Nothobranchius furzeri: one gene and its partners. The protein of the gene in region 3 purifies or fractionates together with the protein of the main gene of each other region. This does not show direct contact. Links are inferred from orthologs where the notes say so. Each region holds a gene or a part of one and is shown on either strand. Other genes may lie near its edges. The genes, in order: fcho2, ap2s1 and eps15.

What was found.
Region 1: the proteins of eps15 (region 3) and fcho2 purify together in Homo sapiens (affinity purification with mass spectrometry; 3 studies listed by BioGRID and IntAct, with this or other methods). This does not show direct contact. The link is inferred for Nothobranchius furzeri from reciprocal best matches to the Homo sapiens genes EPS15 and FCHO2.
Region 2: the proteins of eps15 (region 3) and ap2s1 purify together in Homo sapiens (affinity purification with mass spectrometry; 5 studies listed by BioGRID and IntAct, counting the BioPlex papers as one, with this or other methods). This does not show direct contact. The link is inferred for Nothobranchius furzeri from reciprocal best matches to the Homo sapiens genes EPS15 and AP2S1.

What each region holds. Positions count from the first base shown.
Region 1 is NC_091746.1:66,647,280-66,653,529, forward strand, and holds part of fcho2 (F-BAR domain only protein 2), read right to left. Parts: intron 6,054-6,250; coding exon 5,526-6,053; intron 5,208-5,525; coding exon 5,092-5,207; intron 4,565-5,091; coding exon 4,435-4,564; intron 4,310-4,434; coding exon 4,226-4,309; intron 2,849-4,225; coding exon 2,789-2,848; intron 2,407-2,788; coding exon 2,295-2,406; intron 702-2,294; coding exon 546-701; intron 1-545. UniProt on the Homo sapiens protein: Functions in an early step of clathrin-mediated endocytosis. Has both a membrane binding/bending activity and the ability to recruit proteins essential to the formation of functional clathrin-coated pits.
Region 2 is NC_091753.1:41,291,974-41,298,940, forward strand, and holds ap2s1 (AP-2 complex subunit sigma), read left to right. Parts: upstream 1-2,990; 5' UTR 2,991-3,140; coding exon 3,141-3,143; intron 3,144-3,558; coding exon 3,559-3,708; intron 3,709-4,138; coding exon 4,139-4,252; intron 4,253-5,451; coding exon 5,452-5,511; intron 5,512-5,699; coding exon 5,700-5,801; 3' UTR 5,802-6,272; downstream 6,273-6,967. UniProt on the Homo sapiens protein: Component of the adaptor protein complex 2 (AP-2). Adaptor protein complexes function in protein transport via transport vesicles in different membrane traffic pathways.
Region 3 is NC_091748.1:56,885,983-56,892,996, forward strand, and holds the start of eps15 (epidermal growth factor receptor substrate 15), read right to left. Parts: upstream 4,597-7,014; 5' UTR 4,582-4,596; coding exon 4,426-4,581; intron 2,171-4,425; coding exon 2,129-2,170; intron 1,705-2,128; coding exon 1,615-1,704; intron 1,309-1,614; coding exon 1,261-1,308; intron 1,171-1,260; coding exon 1,075-1,170; intron 924-1,074; coding exon 861-923; intron 1-860. UniProt on the Homo sapiens protein: Involved in cell growth regulation. May be involved in the regulation of mitogenic signals and control of cell proliferation. Involved in the internalization of ligand-inducible receptors of the receptor tyrosine kinase (RTK) type, in particular EGFR.

The DNA of each region.
Region 1 (6,250 bases), on a different chromosome or scaffold from region 3:
CATCGCTCTTCTTGGCTTTGTGTGTAAAGCTCCAATAGCTTGGAAAAAATGACCCTGTTAAATTTAACCAGCTACTAAATCATTGGGCTGATTCGATTAGCTCAGCTATGCGGTGTCGGGATAACAGAAAGGAACCGGAGTGAAAATCATAAAATAAAATAAAAATTAAAAAGTTTTTTTTTCTTTTGGAGAAAAATCTCATTTAAAACAAATCCAACACTCTCATTTCCGTACTGAAAGAACAGGAGATGGTGGTCTGCAGTACCACTGCTTGAACTAATGAGGTGAGAAACAGAGAAAATTGTTTAAAGGACAAAGTGCTGAATGAAGCAGATGTTAAATGAAGTGTTTCAGGGGGTCTTTTGGAAGAGAACCTGTCTGTGGACGTCTGGAGGAAAATACTTCTCCGACAGCTTAATGATAGCTTAATGTCGGATTGCTAATTGAATTTCCTGTTGCTGGTGCAGACTACATTTTCTGGATTTTTGCTCTCACGTCTGAGTCCAAATCATTCTTCCACTGAACCACAGCTCCTGTCTCCTCACCTGAATAAAAGCTGCTGGTTGGGTAAGATCTGCTCCAGCCTGCTGGTGTTCTTCAGTTTGAAGGTCAGGGTGGCTGGAGATGGGTTGGTGGTGAACACCTTGATGATGCCCATAGGGAACGACAACGTCATGTCTCCTGTGATCTTCACAATGCACCTGTGGAGTGCGTCGGATCAGAGTTCATTTATTTTTATTATCTGCCATAAAGCTGCAGGTTAATAACAAAAAACGTGATGAAAAAACTGAAGAAGCAAAAGACAACATGTGATGTAAAATTTCTTACAATCACTGCTTTAGGTGTGATGTAAAGAACGGTTCACAAGATCTGTCATGGAGGTAAAGTCAAAGAGTCAGAGTACCCGGCCCGGATGGTTACAGGGGTCCCACCCTGGAGCCAGGCCTGGGGTTGGGGCCCGTGAGCGAGCGCCTGGTGGCCGGGCTTTGACCCATGGGGCCCGGCTGGGCCCAGCCCGAACCGGATACATGGGCTCATCCAACTGTGGACCCACCACCCGCAGGAGGAACATGAAGGGTCCGGTGCAATGTGGATCGGGTGGCAGACCGAAGCGGGAGCCTTGGCGGCCCGATCCCCGGACAAGAAAACTGGCTTTTGGGACATGGAACGTCGCTGGCGGGGAAGGAGCAGGAGCTTGTGGCAGAGGTTGAGCAGTACCGGCTAGATATAGTCGGACTCACCTCGACACATAGCATTGGCTCTGGAACCCGAGTCCTTGAGAGGGGTTGGACACTCTACTTTGCTGGAGTTGCTCCGGGTGAGAGGCGGAGGGCTGGGGTTGGCTTTTTGTTAGGCCCAAGACTCTCTGCCTGTGTGTTGGCTTAAAACCAATATCACAATATATTGAGGACTTCACCTCGATATCGATAACTGGACGATAACTACACGTATGTGCAGAAACAAAAGATGGAGCTGTCACGTGTATTATGTTGAGTGATGTTTTTCCGTGACTAGAGGTGGTACAGCTTCATAAAGGGACATGAATGTCGCCAACCTGCACACATATTTTCATTTTTTTTATTACTGAATTTACTGACATGGGAAAAACGATATCGGTAAGAGCCAGAAATTTCAATAAACATTCATTTTTTTTATTTATTGCCCAGCCCCACTTTTTACTGCTTCTATAGATCCCAACACAACAATTCTCTATAACAAACACACTATATCTAGTTTAACACAGAAAACTCCCAACTTCAGCTGTATCCTAGTCTTTAAGTTAACCTTAGAGTCTAGCTTGTAATATTCTGCTTTAGTTGTGCAACGTAGATCCAGTTTCTAAGTAATTTGGTGGCTGAAAGTAGTCCGTCATCAGTAGTGGGCCTGCTCTCGTCTGTGGTGGTGGTGGAGGACCACAGTGGGTCTCAACTTTGCGCCGTGTCTCTGCTGCATTGCTTATGAAATGTTCCATTTGCTAATCCCTTGGAAAAATAAGCCTTTGCGCAGCAGCAATTTAACAGCAGTTAACCAATAAAAGACTGTGTTTTTCTCTGCCTCGGACTATAATCTGCCTCGTGTGGGTTATCTATCCTGAAAGAATGGTGTCATACTCCAGCAAAACATTCCACATTTGAGCAGAGAGAGGAAGATGACAGCTGTAGGGCGCAACGGGCTAGAAAACGAGCGGTATTCAACTTTGAACTGCAGAACTCAGATAATGTGGTTCAGCTATAAAGACAACGTGCAAGTCCGTGTTGAGGTATTTGAGCAGCAGGAGGTCATGTGAGACTCACTTTGTGGGATCGGCTCCTTTGAAGTATGCATTAACCGACTCTGTGAAGGCAACGGCAATGGGCAAAGCATCCTGGGATGCCAAGGTCACAGGACTGGGACCGCGAGACGTTCCTGAGAAAGAAAAAGGCACAACGTGAAGGGTCTGTGGACTCGGCTGCAGTTCAAAATGAGCAAAACCAGAGAGAGTTTAAACTATTCAGAGACTGGGTTTAATCATTATTGCATTTCATCAGGTCAGCATTTTTAACACTGCAAACAAGCACATTGTTATTTAAAACAGAAGTTTTAATCAAATTAAACCAAATTTTGACATTTAGAGCAACCTTTATACCAACACTAAAAGCATAAATAAACAAATCATTCATGTTAGGAGTAGAAGCAGAGAAACAGGCAGCATATGCAGAAGAGCAGACACAACAGGAAGCTGCAAAGTAACGTCTCCGTTACTGCTGTTGGTTTTCTTCATTTGGCTCCTTTAGGGTGAACTTCATACCTGCTGGTGTTTCACACAGCTTCTCAAAGGTGGGCAGCTTCGCTATGAACACGTCATCCTCTTTACACCACATTAAAGGCACAACCAGGAAAGAGGAAGACACAAACCCAGAGAGCACAGTGAGAGGAGAGATGATGCTGGGCAGCACTGGAAACCGGTTTTAAGCGTGTGACGACAAGTGAGCCCCAAAGAGACTACGGCCTAGTCCACACGTAGCCGGGTTTTTTTAAAAACGAATATCCGCCCCTCCAAAAACTTGCATCCACACCACTGCGTTTAAAAAAAAAAACTCTGTCCACACGTACCCGGATAAATATGTTGTTAAGGACATGCCAGACCTGTAGGCGGCAGTACTTCCCCCGTTCTTAACCTCGTCCTTCGTCTGTGGTCTTCCGCAAGGAGCAGTAATTCCACTTGCAAAAACAAACAAGCAGAAAGCGCTTGGACAATTGATAAAGCGAGCGCAGCTCTGATGGCATCCATGCTGTCGGCTAGTGTAAACACAGGTCGCACACGTGATGTCAGCATTTTTTTTGTCGCGGAAAATGACGTTGTGGACCTTAAAACTCCGGTTCTGTCTGTCCACACGCAGACACCCAAAACGGAGAAAACGCAGATCTTCACTTTGGCCGGAGTTTTTAAAAAGATCTGTTTTCGTGTGAAAAAACTCTGCTTTCATGTGGATGACAGGCCAAAACGTAGAAAAATATCTACGTTTTGGCAGATCCCCGGCTACGTGTGGACAGGGCCTACAATCACAGACAGATGAACAACGGATTTATAAAAATATATTATAGAGTGGCTTATTGTTGGTTGTTTTTTTTATTAAAGAAGGCAGACATTCTTGTTTTGAGCTGAAATGTTTTGAAGCATCACGTCTTCTTTCTTTATTGGACTTTACGTGCTTTAAAAATCATCAGTTTTCAAAATTTAAATCACTCTACTTCTGGAGATAAGTGGGTCCCACCTTTGGGCACCCCTGATCTAGAACAGGGATGCTCAAACTTTTCATTCAAGAAACGCAAAAATTATTATATAGTGATTTATTTATCTTTTGTTTTGCAATGCTCAAATTTGATCCAAAGTAGTCATATTAGTATAAATCTTAAGATAAAAAGTATTTATCGACACCAATAACCCATTGAAGAAAGACATTTCATGATTCTAGAAATGCTTGTGTAGGCCGCACAAAATCACTTCATGGCCCACAATCGGCCCCCTGACCCCACTTTGGACATGCTTGATCTACAAGTCTTGGTTGGATTGTTTTCTATTTCTTTAATAGTTTGTTTTTCACAGACAGTTTTGTATTAATAGTGTACTGAGAACAAGTGACAAAAACTCGATAAACCTTAAAACGCATTCATAAAGATTAAGGAATCACTGTGGAAGTGGAAGGAGTCTCTCAAAGAAACATGTTCAAAGTGTGAGACTCACTCGGGCCTAGAAGGAAAGGAGGTTGGAAGGTGAAGAGCTCTGGCTCTAGGAAGCAAAAGTGGGAAGCAAAAGTGTGTTCAGGTCCTGCGTAGAGAGGAGTGAAGGAAAGAAGGAAGTAGGTGCAGAAACAGAGGTATGTGGGGATTGAGGGAAAAATAGGATACACTTATTTATGAAAAAGGGGTTTTACAACCAGGAAGAGCTCCTACCAACGGTGGGAGTGTTGCCGGCGCTGAGTGACGCATTTGAAGACAAAGAGGAGGAACTCTCAGCCCGGGCGAGTGGTGCAGTTGGAGGAGGGCTGGCGTTAGTTGCTTTCTGTGGGCTGAATGGTCGTACCTGAGTCCGGGAATAAAAATATTAGTGTGTATTCAAATAGACATCAGTTCAATGTTAAGATCAGGCATGACTGTGTTTTGTGTTATTTCAGTGTGAAATTCTTATTTATTGTACTTTTAAAGTAGCCTAGAAATCTAGACCGACCTGCAGAGCAGAATGATTTTGCTCTGCAGGTCGGTCTAGCCACGCTCCATTAGAGCCTCAGCAGGCCCAGCCAGTTTTGTGGCTGGCCAATCATAGCCCTCTATCACTTTGGTGGGCGGGATTTTACTGTGTCAGAGCAAAATAAAGATGACGACGGCTCATTTTAAACAGCTTTGGCATCAACTTCTGACTTGGGCTCTTTAAGAGCAGATAGAAGTACTTAAGTCCTTTAAGGATGTATTAGCGTCTTCTTCCAGACACAAGCCTGGAGGAGCTTCTGCCGTGTGGTAGAGTTGCTAATGCTAATATTTAGCTTCTACTATCTGAGACGTCTGCTGCTGATTCCCAGAAGTTGAAACAACAGCCATTTTCACTTCACTCACAATTTCATTGATCCCTGTGAGTTTTCCGGTGGGAACTTTGGGCCTGGAGGAGGGTCGTGGTGGAGGAACAAGGGCTCCAGCTGCCAGGGGGGTCGTGGGTCTGTTCGATAATGGCACTAGACAGAGAAACACAGTTGGGCCCTGCTGGTTACCAATAGTGAAATACCATGGAAATTAGTTATAAAAAAGCGTATTTTATGAATTGTTCAGTTGGACGCAGAATTGTCATGCATCATTTCAACACATCAACAGAAAAACAGAGGCAAAAGTAAAGCACGTTCCAAATGATACTCTTAAAGCCACGCAAAGAAATATAAACAAAAAGACAAATAAAATAGACAAGCATTAGTAAAATAAAACTATATGAAAGCAATAATCATACAATTAAAAACCTCAAGCATTAAAGCATACAAACGCAAGTAAACAGAACTCACACCCTCGAGCATAACACGCGTCTTGAGAGCCAGGATCATTGTTACCAGTGAACATTTTGTTGGATGGAGCTGCAGCCTTATCAGCGAAGACATCGGTGAAACTGAGGCTGCTGTCCTCGCTGCACCTCGTCGCTCTGCTGTAGACGTCTGCAGAGTCTTCTGACAGGAAGCGGCTTGACCTGCTGATGCCTGCCTGAACCCTCTGGAGCTCCAACACGGATGAACCCGAGCCACGACGGCAAGGCGGGGCAAAGTTATCACCAAAAGCAATCCACTGGCTCTGTGACCAGGAGACGCCCTCCTCGCTCTTCGGAGGGCCGGCAGCAGCCATGCTTTGGACGGGGTCAACTGGCTCGGTAGGCTGGGTGATGGGGGCGCTCTGGGCTCTCGCCATGGCAGGCTTGAGAGGTTGGAGTGGGTTTTCAGGTGAATCCCACGGAGAGGATGTGGACGAGGAGAAAGAGATATCTCTCGATTGCTGGCGTTCTGCCAAAGGAGCACAGCAGCTGCTCTGTGGCGCTGAGTCGACTGAAGGAGGCATTGTGATTAACAGAGACGGTAAGAATAAAGACATACACAACAGGATAGAGGTTTAGCAAGAAACCTGCAATTCCAGAAAATAATTATGTTTTTATATCTCAAAATCAAAACTGCTTCAAACATTTATGATTTTGGAGAAAACATTATTTTTAATTCATATTTTTTGACCAATGTAATATTATTAT
Region 2 (6,967 bases), on a different chromosome or scaffold from region 3:
AAGACCAGAAGTGAGCAGCTGTGAAATTGGACAGTCTAGCCTTCAAATTTATGTCTGCACTTTAGTCAGCATGTAACCCGTCCCCTAGCAATCGTGACAGAGCTAAAAAAAAAAAAAGAAGAATGAATAAAAACAAACTTCTGTAAATTGAGCTTAAAATTTTGTTGTTATTTATTACCTATCTTATCCTTTTTAGGAGCTAATTCATCTTTATCACCTTACCAATTCATCCTGAGGTAGGGTGGACCATGAAGCACACGCAAAAGACCCATCCTTCAAATCCGGGGAGAAGAAGGACTTTTCACTGGTCCGTATCGGGAAGAGCCTTCACATTTAAACAGACTTTGTAGCATTGCTGTGATGTAATCAGTCTTCAAATCCAACCTTCGAAGGATGCTGCCCCTGAACTTGGACACAACCACAAACTGCTACAGATGTTTATTTTGTGCACCACCTCAAGATTATCATTGACCCCCCGCCCCCCATGGAGGCGCTCCTGTTTTCAGAGATTTTCTTTGGACTTTGTCTGCTTTCTCACTCAATTTTCAGAGGAATTTTTCTTTTTGTTTCCTTGTTGATCTTTTTAAATCTGACCCATGAATCATTCAGACATACCAAGGCTCCTAAACTAAAGCTAAACTCAAAGGATGAATCAGAGTTGTGTCAACACTGAGAATATTTTAACAACAACAAGGTGGTTCCCATGGACCTGTCAGCTGAGAACTATAGTCCTTTACAGTAGATGATCAACTAAAGGATGATGCCTCTCAACTTAGGTTTCAGTTCCGTCTTCAAAAAATGTGAATTTTAGATTCTGTTCATGTGTTATAGGCCTGATTTTTTTTATTTTATCCTCCACTTTGTCTACTGAGCACACACTCCTCAAACAGCTCTTTCCCCCACTATAACAGTATTTTAAACCTTTAAAAAGGGATAACCTGACACTCTTATTTCCATTCCTTCACAGCGGATCTCTGTTTCATGCACAGATTCAAATATTAGTCATCATCTAACATATTTGAATGTCCCATGGCTGCATCGCATAGAAAAATTTTGCTTTAAGAACCAAGAACTGTGACCTAAAAGTCTCATCCAGCAGCAGAAAGGGGGAATTTTTCCTTCCCGAGAAAATCAATCATCTCAAAGGTATTCCTAATTACTTGAGTCGTTCTCGGAGTCGTCCACTTGATAAAAGAATTACTATGAAGAGGTTTGCACTCTGATTAGTTCAGCCACTGAATGAATAATTGAATCTTCCGAGGAGGACGGTGGAGCTCTGTTTTCATATTTGAAAAATGTCTGCTGAGTAAAAGAAGACAATGGGCTTCGAGAGCTCAAACGCCAGCTTAATGTCTCTATTCTTGAAAGTCGTCACCTTTTCCACTTGTTGGTGTTTTCAGGGTCCTAGAAAATGGGCCAGTCATAGGGGTCCTCACAATCTGAGATAAAATGACCAATAATGGAGACATCATCACATTAAAATATTTCCTTATTTACGTATGAGACGCATAAAGTGTCCCACGTCTTACCTGACAGAATGAATGATTCATCCTAAATATGAGTCAGGGTTCAAGGTGTGTTGTTTGAGTGAATCCATTTGCTTCTGTCCACTGTGCTTTCATAATATTTGCATGACCTCAATCACACAAAGCAAGATTAGCCTGCAGGGTCAAAGTTCTTATTGAATAATCTGCTTCTGTTTTACGTCCCTTTATCCCAGCTTTGATCTTTTTTCATTATTATTATTATTTATTTTTCCGGGCCTTTTTTACTACCTCGTCCCTCTCCTTGAGTAATGAAATGCATCGCTGTTGAAATTATTTTCTTGCGAAACATTACCGCAGTGTTATAAATCTAAGCACGACTAAAGTCAGTCAAAGCTCACAAGCATTACAGAGGGGATAAAAACAATTTCCCTTTGTTTACACGCTTTCCCTTTTTCTTCTATTCTTTTACGTTTGCACCATTTGCAGCTGAGATATCTCTGGGTCCCAAGGGCAGGCGCATTCCTTTACACAAGAGTTGTGCAATCCCCCCCCCCCCCCCACCCCCACCCCCCCAACCTACACCTCCTCCCATCAGACTCCCTAAATGCCCAGAGCGCTCAGATCCAAGCTGTCTAAACTGTCTGTGCAGTGGCCTGTGGTGGACTGCCCAGCCAGACCCGTAAACAAATGCTAAGCCTTGATAATGCAGGAATAAAACACAAACAACTTCACAATTGTGCAGAAATGTGTGACTATATATAGATTTTTTCAGTAACCTGTAACACCTGAGACAAATTATGTATGACAAACTAATTTACAAAGGGAACATAGCCGTAGTTTTATATGATCTGTCCTTCATGTTTGTGCACTAAATCTTTCCATATAGTGCAGCATAATAGTAAAACTACAATAGCTAAGTAATTTTTCATTACCAAAATTCATATGAAATATAAAACTTTTTCAGGAATTTTTTGGCTTTTTTTTTGCCTTTTTTGACAAAAGTTTTGACTATTTATGACATTTAATCAGCTGCAATCTGTTCTTGCAATTCTTTCCATGGAAATTGCATTTCTTGCTGAAAAATATTATCATAAAAATAATGCATACATCTTAGGTTTCACAACTGAGATTGTTTTATAAAACACTTATGTTTAAATTAACTAAACGCTAACTAGTATGCTTGAATAGAATTGTGGTGGGTTGCATGAAAGCCTCTGAAATAGTTGAAATTTATTTTATTTTATTTTATTTTTTTACTAGGAACTAAATGATTGAATATCACGAACCTGTAACGCTCAAAAAATTATGTGTTAAACTGGCTTGACATATATGTTAAACTGGCTTGACATACATTAATTTGTGAAGGTTTTTCTCATGTGATCCAAAAACGCAACGAAACTCGATACGTCAATCGGGACCGCTGGTTGTTGTAGTTTCTCGTGGATTACATTGACTTGGCAGAAAAGCAGCGATGACTACGTTTCCCAGAATGCAACATAACTCGGCGTAGTTTTGCACATCCTGTTAGCTTGAGAGGATAGCGGACGAACGGGCGGAAAAAAGAGATACCGATGTTTTAATATAAAAGTGGTGCATTATTGCTCATGAACGTAATATTCTGGAGTGCCCAAGAAGCATATTAGGAAGACGAAAATGGTAAAGTTATTCAATTATTCAAGTTAATCTTTTTTTTTATTAGCCGTCAGGTTATGTTAGCGTTTAGAACTCGACAGATAAGCACTCCATTCAGTCTAGAAAACTATACTGGTGGTTAAATTGAGGGTTTAACCACAGAAAACCTCCACTTTAGCCTATGTAGATAGCATGGTGAAATTCAAGAATGTCGAAGTGTACGCATTATGTTAAAAGCTAGGTGTGGTTTAATAGTGCTACCTTTTACACCAGCCAAGCTAACGGTCAGTAATAGCTTCAGTTACTTTCACATCTCAGTAAGCTGGAGTTCCATAGCTGCCAATCTATGGTACATATTATTCCAGTGTGTTAATCATTTGTGTGGGTGGGTTTTGTTGCAGATTATTTTGTTTGATCTAATCCGTTTTCTATCCCAAAGATCCGCTTTATCCTCATCCAGAACCGAGCAGGGAAGACACGATTGGCTAAATGGTACATGCAGTTCGATGATGACGAAAAGCAGAAACTGATCGAAGAAGTGCATGCTGTGGTTACAGTCAGGGATGCCAAGCACACCAACTTTGTGGAGGTATGGGATTGTATAAATGCTTTAATGTGTGGCTGTTTTTGCAGACTGCATAGACATTAAAAAGTTAAGATTTCTAATTTTAAGTATAGCTCAATACTCTTGAAAGAGAGGCTGAAATGCAATTGGATTGTAATGTTTCATATATGGATGTTGATCAATATCTGCAGGAAAATAACATTCAAAAGAACATATTTTCTATTTATTGAACTTGGTCTGTATGTGAAGATAACGCCTTAAATACACCCTTGGGTGACTTATCATTTTTAACAAATACAGTATAATAGAAGAGGTTCCCACCTGTTTATTTTTTGCTTGTAGTAGACTTAAATATAATTATTGGTATACAAAGCCTTGAGTCTCTCAGCTCTGCTGAAACTTCTGTTACACAAATCTAAATTTCTAATTGGATTTCACCATTTTGTCCTCACAGTTCAGGAACTTCAAGATCATTTACCGACGTTATGCAGGCCTGTACTTCTGTATTTGTGTGGATGTGACTGATAACAACCTGGCATACCTCGAGGCGATCCACAACTTTGTTGAGGTAAACAATGAACACACACAAACATCCATCCATCATTTATTTATGAAGCACATTTAAAAACACAGCATTTCAGCTGTCCAGAGTGCTGTACAGGAGGTCCAAAGGCCAAAAAACAGTGGTGGGCTACTCTACAAAATAGATGAGAGAGGAGGGAAAGTATAACAAGTTGGAAGTAAAAAGAGCCCAAACTGTACAAATTGTAGAAAAAGAAAACAAGAACCTAGCAGTAGCTAATACACTTAAAATGAAATCAGTGGACATATGAACAAAACAATAACCTTATTTCGAGATAAAACACACACATGACCTGTGCTTGTCATGGTCTGGTGGGGTTTAGGAGTGTTTCTTTGTGGCTGTGATTTGTTACCTTGCAGTTCTTGAATGCCAAACTGGCTGCATTTTTGTGTGGATTAAAAACTAACATATAGTGGTTAAAAATGATCGTCATTCAGTTATGAAGGCATGGAAAGCATTCATAATAAATGTGTGATTTGGCAATTAAATGTTCACCTTATATAACATCTGTCTGGTGCAGAATGTGTCAGGAGAAAATAATTGAATTTATTTAAAATTATTTAACCTCTATTTCAGCACCGGTTTGAAACACTTAAGCATCAAATACAATTAAAGTTTTTATTTTTATATTTTGATGATTGAATGTTTTGGCTTCGAGTCTGAAACAGAAATGAGGTAAAATTTCACTATTCTGTTTTAGCAGCAGTGTTTTCAGTCTGATCTTTGTGCTTTTACAATAATAATTTTGCACAAGTGAAGCTGACGGTATCCACCTAAACTACTTTTGAAGCCTTTCTCTGAAATGGACCACCTCAGGGATTATTGAGCGGTTTATTTTTTGTTTTTGCATAGAACTGTTAAAAAACTAGGACAAAATGGTTAAATTTGTTGTTATGCTGCAGCCTTTCTGCCATTTCTCACACAATGGAAAGCAAATGGGCAGCTGTGGAAGCCAGAATAAAGTAGAAGAAAATCAATAGTAGACAATAGCTGTCCTTGTTACCGTTAGCCAACAGCTAAACCAAATCCTGAACAACAGGTTTAAAATGTTGTTTTATTTAAAGTGAATTTGGTATTTTCTGTTCTGCAGTCGCATTTCACTCGTAGGAATTGTCGGTAATTGTCGTACACACTTTGGTTGTGTAGCTTAAAATGTACATTTTTCTGTTTCTCTTTGCTGGAAGGTGCTGAATGAATATTTTCACAATGTGTGCGAACTGGATCTTGTGTTCAACTTCTACAAGGTGAGAACACACAGAGGGATTATTTTTCAGATTTGACACAATCTCTGATAGAAAGACATTACATGTATTTTTAATTGTATTATTTTGATGACAAAGAGGGGGAGTTGGGTCATGTTCGCATGCAGTTGATGGTATTTGTGCTCAGATCAGTATTTGTCCTCTCATCTGTTTTGTGCGTCTGTCTCAAGGTGTACACGGTGGTGGACGAGATGTTCCTGGCAGGAGAGATCAGGGAGACCAGTCAGACCAAGGTTCTCAAGCAGCTCCTCATGCTCCAGTCTCTTGAGTGAAAATGTGTCCTTCCTGTGCTTTTTATCTTCTGCCCAACCCGACCTTCACCATGTCCCTATCACTCTGGAAGAACCACACCATTCTCCATGCCCCTGCAGAGCCAGCTCTCATCTTCAAGACAAGGAGGGAGGGGGTTGTTTTGAATAAAAATACACAATATTGTTTACGTATGGATATGAGTTCAGCTGTTTGCCATAGCAGCCCATATGTTGCATTATTCTGATAAACTGCTATAGATGTCATCAACAAGCCTACAGTCTCAGTAGATTTTAACATTTCAAATAGTCCTGCCAATGTTATGAGCTTTGTAACTAACTGCAGAAAAGAGTTGTTTCATGTTTGCATTTATCCATGTTCACTGTGGAAATCAGTGTGAGACTGCTCTCTGTCCCAGTAACCTAAACATTTACTCAATGGCACTACTGTAACTAACAAGCACCATAAAAATAAACTGCAGATAGACCCGAGAACCCCCAACAGCTCCGTAGTTGTTTCTAGACGTCCAGTGTTGTGGGTTATCTCTGCTGAGTCCCAGCCCACCAGCGGACTACAAGTAGGAAGCTCTTCAGAGCCGTTGACCCAGCAGAGAAAGTTCATCCCAGAATGGAGCGTACTCGGGATGAGGAGCGTTTCAGTGGGGTGTTATGGTGACCGGTGACGAGAGAGAAAGTTATGTTGGATTTGTTCAGCTTTGCTTCCAATTACATCAAATGGTGCTTGTTCCCTCTTAAAACACTTAAATACAAAGAAAACCTGGACAGAGTCAGTTTTACATGAAGTGGAACTTTTGCTTTGCGTTGTGTTTGTATACACACACACACACACACACAAATATTTAGCATCTTATGTCCAGTACTGTGTAAAAAAAAAAAAAACAGCTCCTAATCATCTTGAGATTCATACATTCCTTTGATGTTTATTTGCCTAAAACCATAACATGGATGTATGGTGGATGGAAATCTGCTTTATTCATACAGGGGTTAAATGTTTTATCAACATCCCATGATCTAATTTTAACCATATCCAGTCAGATAATCTGAAACTACTTATTTCTTATGAAATAGTAATGACCTATATCCTGTTTCCCTTGTGAGTTAGCTGGTGGAACATGTGTTACAGTCTATTCAACACCTATTTGTCCAGTTTTGTGTAAATAAACAGATTA
Region 3 (7,014 bases):
TTGTAGCGTGAAAATGGTTAGAGATGAAGATAAACTGTAAATGAGGAAAATCTTCAGTAGGAGTCAAAGTTTGTGTTGGGAGCAAAATCACTCATCTAATTCACATATTATGATGTCATCATACTGCCATATTGGAATGCATCATTTTTTCAGATGTTCCTTCTTATTTTTACGTTATTTTGATTTTTTTATTTATATATGCATATATAAAGCATTTTTGAAAATGTTATTGCATTGTTTATCTTTTATATTGTATGAGTTTATATTGGCCTCAATCAATAGAAATGCTTTTTAGACATATTTGTCCGCTTTCTTTGGGATTGGACAGCTTCAGGGACGTCCTTCCCTTGAATATAATCATTTGATCCGAGGGGAAGAATATTTTTAGGATTATGTGGCACACTTTGACTTCCACATGTAATGCATCTGTCGCTTTTTTACATTGCCACTATGGTCACATTACTTGTGTTTTTAACCATCATTTCTACATCCACCACGTCCCAAACACGGGGACACAAACTTCAAACCCAACGTTTGGAGCTCGTAAGTGTAGCATCAGCTGTCGGTTGCTGTGTGCTGCAGCAGCCCCCATCTTTCCGGCGGGATGAGTGAATTTCTTCATCAGAGAGTCAATATCCGGCTTCATAACAGGAGTCAGCCATGACCAAAGACATTGTTTCACCTACATAGGCTCAAGCATGGCGCTGCGACATGGCTGAAATTCCAGCACCACTCCTACGAGATATCCCCCCCCCGATATATCGGGCTACCCCTAATCTGCGTTATCAATAATAAACCAAATGATTTCACTAGTAAACACAGCATAAATGCTTTGTACCTAATAAATGAAAACTGCTCACCTTCACAACCCAGGGGGCGTCAGCGGCCACTTGTCCTGCTAGCAAAGGGCTATTTGTGTCATGCTGCAAACACAGAAACGTATAATAAACGTAATAACCAGAAATAAATGTTTAACTACAAGAAAAAAATCAGAACAGTAGAAACAAAGAGGTGGTGTCCGTGTATGAGGAAGTTCCCATCTACAGAACATTTGTGGCTCAGTCACAAACTTACAAATTTGGGGGGAGGAACGGCCACATTAAGACTTTTAAGCGCCACCTCCAGGCCGTTCTGTGCACAAGCCACCAACCGCAGCGCCACGAAGAATTGCTGAAGGGACATTAGAAAGAATAATGTAAGCCTGGTGTCGATCCAGCACCAAAAATAAACCCACCATGACATAAAGTCCTCTGTTTGTACCTGTTTATTGAGCGCTCCTTTTCTTTCAGAGTCAGCTAAATCCCAGATCTACGAAGATATCATTATGCATTTATTTTAAACACTACTAACATTAGTTCTGCCAGCATTCCAACACAACTAGAACTCCCACTAGCAGTCACTATGACGATTGGCATTCTGACCGTTGGAATGCGAGGCTGGATATAGAGACAAAAATAACAATATTTCTTTATTGATATTTGATCAATGTTAACATGAAAATTAAAGGACACATAAGTCAGGAAGCAGTCAAAACGACTGCCTTTGGAGTTCTACTGTTAACCCTGAAGCCAAGACAGAGACGCTAAGTTGGGATTGAGACAAAACTTAGCTCACCTTGCCCAAGACCATGTCAGCCAACCCTGACCGCTTCAAGAACAGAGCCGCATCAGCTGCCGCTACCCGCCCGCTGCCAGTGGGATCCACCTGCATGCACGCCCACAGCAGCATGTTTAATGTGCATGACGCTCGGATGCACAGGTTCTGAATAAAGAGCCTGTGTCTCACTTTAACCAGAACTATTATAATCTCTGTAGTATTAGCTCAGCACTCCATTAGAAAGCCCAGAGGGAGCTTCCCTGAATGGTTGTCAAAGGGAAACATTATTAATTCATAGGCTGGAAAAGAAAAGGCAGAAGAGAGAACTCACCAGTGAAAGCTCTACAGCTAATTTCAATTTTAAATTCACAAAAGCAACAGATAAAAACGGTTGTTCTGTGTTAGTCTGTTTGAATTTGACACAACTGAATGACATTGGTTAAAAAAACTACTGATATTTAAATTGCTATAATAAATATTCATGCTTATAATATAATTTAACAAAGGGAAGAGGAGTGGTCGTTTCCATTACCTGTCGATAATGTTTGTCATAGATGGGATTTCCACTGGAAAGCTGAAAACAAATAAAAGCATGTTTGTAAATTTTGCAAACCTCATTTGATGCGTTTCATAGAGTCCAAAACAAAATTTTAAAGTGTCAGTTACAAAAACCTAAAATGTCTGTATTTCTCTAAGAAATCTTTTTAGTTTACAAATTTGAATAAAATATAATCTGGCAGCTAGAGAAAATCAGTCAGAAGATCAAAAACTGAAAACGTTAACCACAGAGTTTAAAAAGCCACAGAGCCACTAGAGTACATGCACCAGTAGATTTAACCTTTAAATTTAAAATATTATAAAGCCTAAAATATGCCACAAAATGTTAGCTTATCCCAGAACTGATCATAATTAATCAGTAAAACCAAAGACACGTTGAAGTAATGCCACTTTTGTGAAGAACAAGTGATGCCACTACTGGGATTCTTGATTGTTGAATAATTAGATTTTCACTGTTACAGGTTCTAAGAGGTGAGTCTTTATTCATGCAAAAATTAAATGACAAACATATCTTTGTGTTTTTTATACAAAGCAAAGTTAATCATTATTTTCTGGTGATGAAACTGCAAAGCAAGGCTAACTGATACTAAAGCTCTGAGCTGAATTACCATGACGATACCTTCTGGAAGCCTGTGATTTGTGTTCAAACTAAGCCACAAGATGTTAACACTCGAGAGTAATTTGCTTTTCTGATGTAATATCCCTTCTTTCCTCTTCTCATCTGAGCTAAACAGGAAACAAATCAGCATTTCCCTGTTTTTAAACTAAAAATGCTAAATGGTAGCTTCCATGAAATAGAGAAAAGGAGTGGACAGCAATTATCTGGTAAGTGGATGTGCTGAGGAGCAGTCTTAAAAGCTTTCCTTCCATCTCCAAACCAATATGAAGATGAAGAAGAAAACAGCAACATCAGCTTAGGAGTAAATTATGTAACCAACTCTGGCACATAAGAAAAAAAACATAGCCTGTCATCAGCAGTTGTCTGTCAGCTACTTTGGACAACTAAATGCCAATTTTAAAGTGAGATAACTGTTGACGCGCGCGCGCACACACACACACACACACACACACACACAGAAATTGTAACACAGTAGTGTGCCTGGAACTATCGATGGCTGTGACACTGTCATCATTGTACTGCACTCTTTAAAAAGCCATAAAGTGAAAAAAAACTATAACCATTATTGCATAGTTCATTCAAAACTTTGGCATTCAACAAGATGCATCATGTTGCATTTGTTAACAGGACAGGCTGGTTTCTCTTTGACATTTCAACATGTTTGATTGTCACAGCAATAAAATGGTAAACAGTGTCAGCAGAAACATGGAGGTCAGATTAGATACTAATCAGACAAGAAGCAGCAGCAATGAAGAGAAAACACAGAGACAACGCTGCTCCTGCTCTGTTGACAGAGGCAACAGAGGCTCGGGTGACCATACCAATTAAACTTGCCCGCTACCTGCTAAATAACTTACAATTCACCAACTTTGGGTTCTTCACCCAACTAGCAACAGGCTTTTACTTCTGACAGCAGAACGAGCTAGTGGCTGCCATAGTTAACTTCCTCTTACTGGTTTCAGAACGACAGTTTACATTATTTAAAGCTGCACTACTAAAAATTAACTCAACGTTTACATTAAATAATTGAACATAATAAAGTCTGTCCACTTCAAAAATGTCAAAGGAATAAAAACACATCAACCGAAGCACGTTTCATTCTATTTATAGCCATATCAAGTGTAACCATGCAGACAGCCATGGGAGTAGCAACGTAGCTTATAAAGCACACGAAAGCAGAAGATGCAACACAACATAACTAAAACTTGGAGCGAACGTTAACCAACTAAAATATGACAGCAGAGCCACAACAGAGAGCCACACATGGTTATCATCTTCTTAGCAAAGACCGGCTGGCCTGCGGCTAACAGAGGGTGCGCAATGTTGTTTTAAAGACTGCTAACCAAAGCCAAGTCACGTTAGCTAAACGTCAAGTTTGACAAAGAAGCCCCACTAACAGCCCCACACTGGACATAAACTAGCTGTTAGCAGGCAGGCTAGCTGGCTAGCTACGCCCTTACGCAGTCCCCAAAGAGATTAGACAGAAACTTTTCGCAGCAGGGCTAAAACTTCCCCAACACCGACGACGGTCGAGGAGAGCACTCGTTTCCGCCCGCCCAGTCCGGCCAGCACCACTGAGTTGGGCGCAAGTAACGCGGACAGAAGCCCGCGGCGTTCGTTGTCGTTATATTTGAGTTGTAAGACACTGTTACCTGAGTAAGAGACAAAGTGGCAGCCATAGTGTTTCTGTTTCCCACTGCTTTCAGGCTGCGCTGCTGCCAGACACAGACAGAGGCCGCTGAAAAACCTGGAACCGGACCCGAAATACAGAGTCGTCCAATCACACCCACTAACAGCAGGCCAGTCATTTAACCCTGGGCACGCCCATCGACATAATATACGGGCACACCCAAAAGGAGGCCCGGGGGCCCTTAGTGGCCCTCGGAGTGATTTTGTTTGGCCCATAGACTGTTTGGCCTCATTATTGAATTTCTAGAATGGTGGGATTTTGTCTCTCCTGCAGTCTGGTGATGTAGATAGAAACTTTGAGATTTTCATGATCAAACATTTTTATTAATGTGTATATTTTTGGTGTTTTGAACCATATAAAAACATAAAATAACTGCAGCATTATTAAAAAAAATTCAGTTGATTATTTTGCTCTTGAAAGGGTTGGACATTCCAATTTAAAGAGCAAGTCACTCCTACCAGACTCTTAAGCCTGGGGCACACTGAAGGCAGACGCACCGCACCCGCGCCGTCGTTTTAAATAAAAGCCATTATAGTTAATGAGAGTGGGTACACAGGGAACGCCGCGCGGCGTCCCAGAAGCGCTGTGCTGCACCTAGGCACTGAAGACAGGTGCCAGTTTTATCTCAAGTGCCGCGGCGCAGCTGTTTACAACATTGTGGAGTACTTTACAACAGACATTACGACGTGGAATGGCTTTACGGCACAAACCCAACCACAGTTTTGATAACTTCAAATTTAAATAAATAGCATACTTACCCATTTTTAATTAATTTGAGTCTCACAAAACATGACAGCAAGTCTGATCATGTATAAACAATAGAGTCACTTCCTTATTTCTGTTCTCAAGTCCAACGTGATGTTGTGACTATTACGCGACTTTCCAAGAAGCGTTCAGCAGCTCCGCCTGTGTGACCACTTGACTTCTCAAAATCTCGAGAGTGACGCAGCGCGTCTCCCTCCGGCAACAAATACTGCTGCCTGGCAGACCAGCTCAGTGACCTAGTGGTAGAGTGACCGCCCTGAGACTGGGAGATCAGGGTTCAATTCCTGGTCGGGTCATACCAAAGACTTTGAAAAAATGGGACCCAATGCCTCCCTGCTTGACACTCAGCATTAAGGGGTTGGACTGGGGGGTTAAGCCACCAAATGGTTCCTGAGCACAGCTGTGTCTGCAGCTCACCGCTCCCCCAGGGTCAATTGCGGAGAACAAATTTCGCACACCTCCTCCTTGAACCGTCACCTTATTGTGGTGGAGGAGTTTGAGTGCCCTAATGATCCTAGGAGCTATGTTGTCTGGGGCACTTAGTGCCCCTGGTAGGGTCTCCCATGACAAATTGGTCTTAGGTGAAGGGTGAGACAAAGAACGGTTCGAAGGATCTTTCATGGCGGTGAAAACGAAGAGTCGGAGTACCCGGCCCGGAGGGTTACCGGGGTCCCACCCTGGAGCCAGGCCTGGGGTTGGGGCCCGTGAGCGAGCGCCTGGTGGCCGGGCTTTCGCCCATGGGGCCCGGCCGGGCCCAGCCCGAACCGGATACATGGGCTCGTCCAACTGTGGACCCACCACCCGCAGGAGGAACATGAAGGGTCCGGTGCAATGTGAATCGGGTGGCAGACCAAGGCGGGAGCCTTGGCGGTCCAATCCCCGGACAAGGAAACTAGTTTTTGGGACATGGAACGTCACCTCGCTGGCGGGGAAGGAGCCGGAGCTTGTGGCAGAGGTTGAGCGGTACCGGCTAGATATAGTCGGACTCACCTCGACACATTGCATTGGCTCTGGAACCCGAGACCTGGAGAGGGGTTGGACACTCTACTTTGCTGGAGTTGCTCCGGGTGAGAGGCGGAGGGCTGGGGTTGGCTTTTTGTTAGCCTCGAGACTCTCTGCCTGTGTGTTGGGGTTTACCCCGGGGGACAAGAGGGTAGCTTCCTTGCGCCTTCGGGTCGGGGAACGGGTCCTGACTGTTGTTTGTGCGTATGGGCCAAATATCAGTTCAGAGTACCCACCCTTTTTGGAGTCCCTGGGACGAGTGCTAGATAGTGCTCCATCAGGGGACTCCATTGTCCTGCTGGGGGACTTCAATGCTCACGTGGGCAATGACAGCTTGACCTGGAGGGGTGTGATTGGGAGGAACGGCCCACCTGATCAGAACTCGAGCGGTGTTTTGTTATTGGACTTCTGTGCAAGCCGCAGTTTGGCCATAACGAACACCATGTTCGAACATAAGGATGCCCACCGGTACACTTGGTACCAGGGCAGCCTAGGTCACAGGTCGATGATAGATTTTGTAGTCATATCATCTGACCTGTGACCGTATGTTTTGGACACCCGAGTGAAGAGAGGGGCGGAGCTGTCAACTGATCACCACCTGGTGGTGAGTTGGATCAGATGGCAAGGGAACATGCCGCGTAGACCTGGCAGACCCAAACGCATAGTGAGGGTCTGCTGGGAACGCCTGGCAGAAGAACCTGTCAAGACGGTCTTCAACTCCCACCTCCGGCAGAGCTTTGACCACGTCCCGAGAGCAGTGGGGGACATTGAGTCCGAGTGGGCC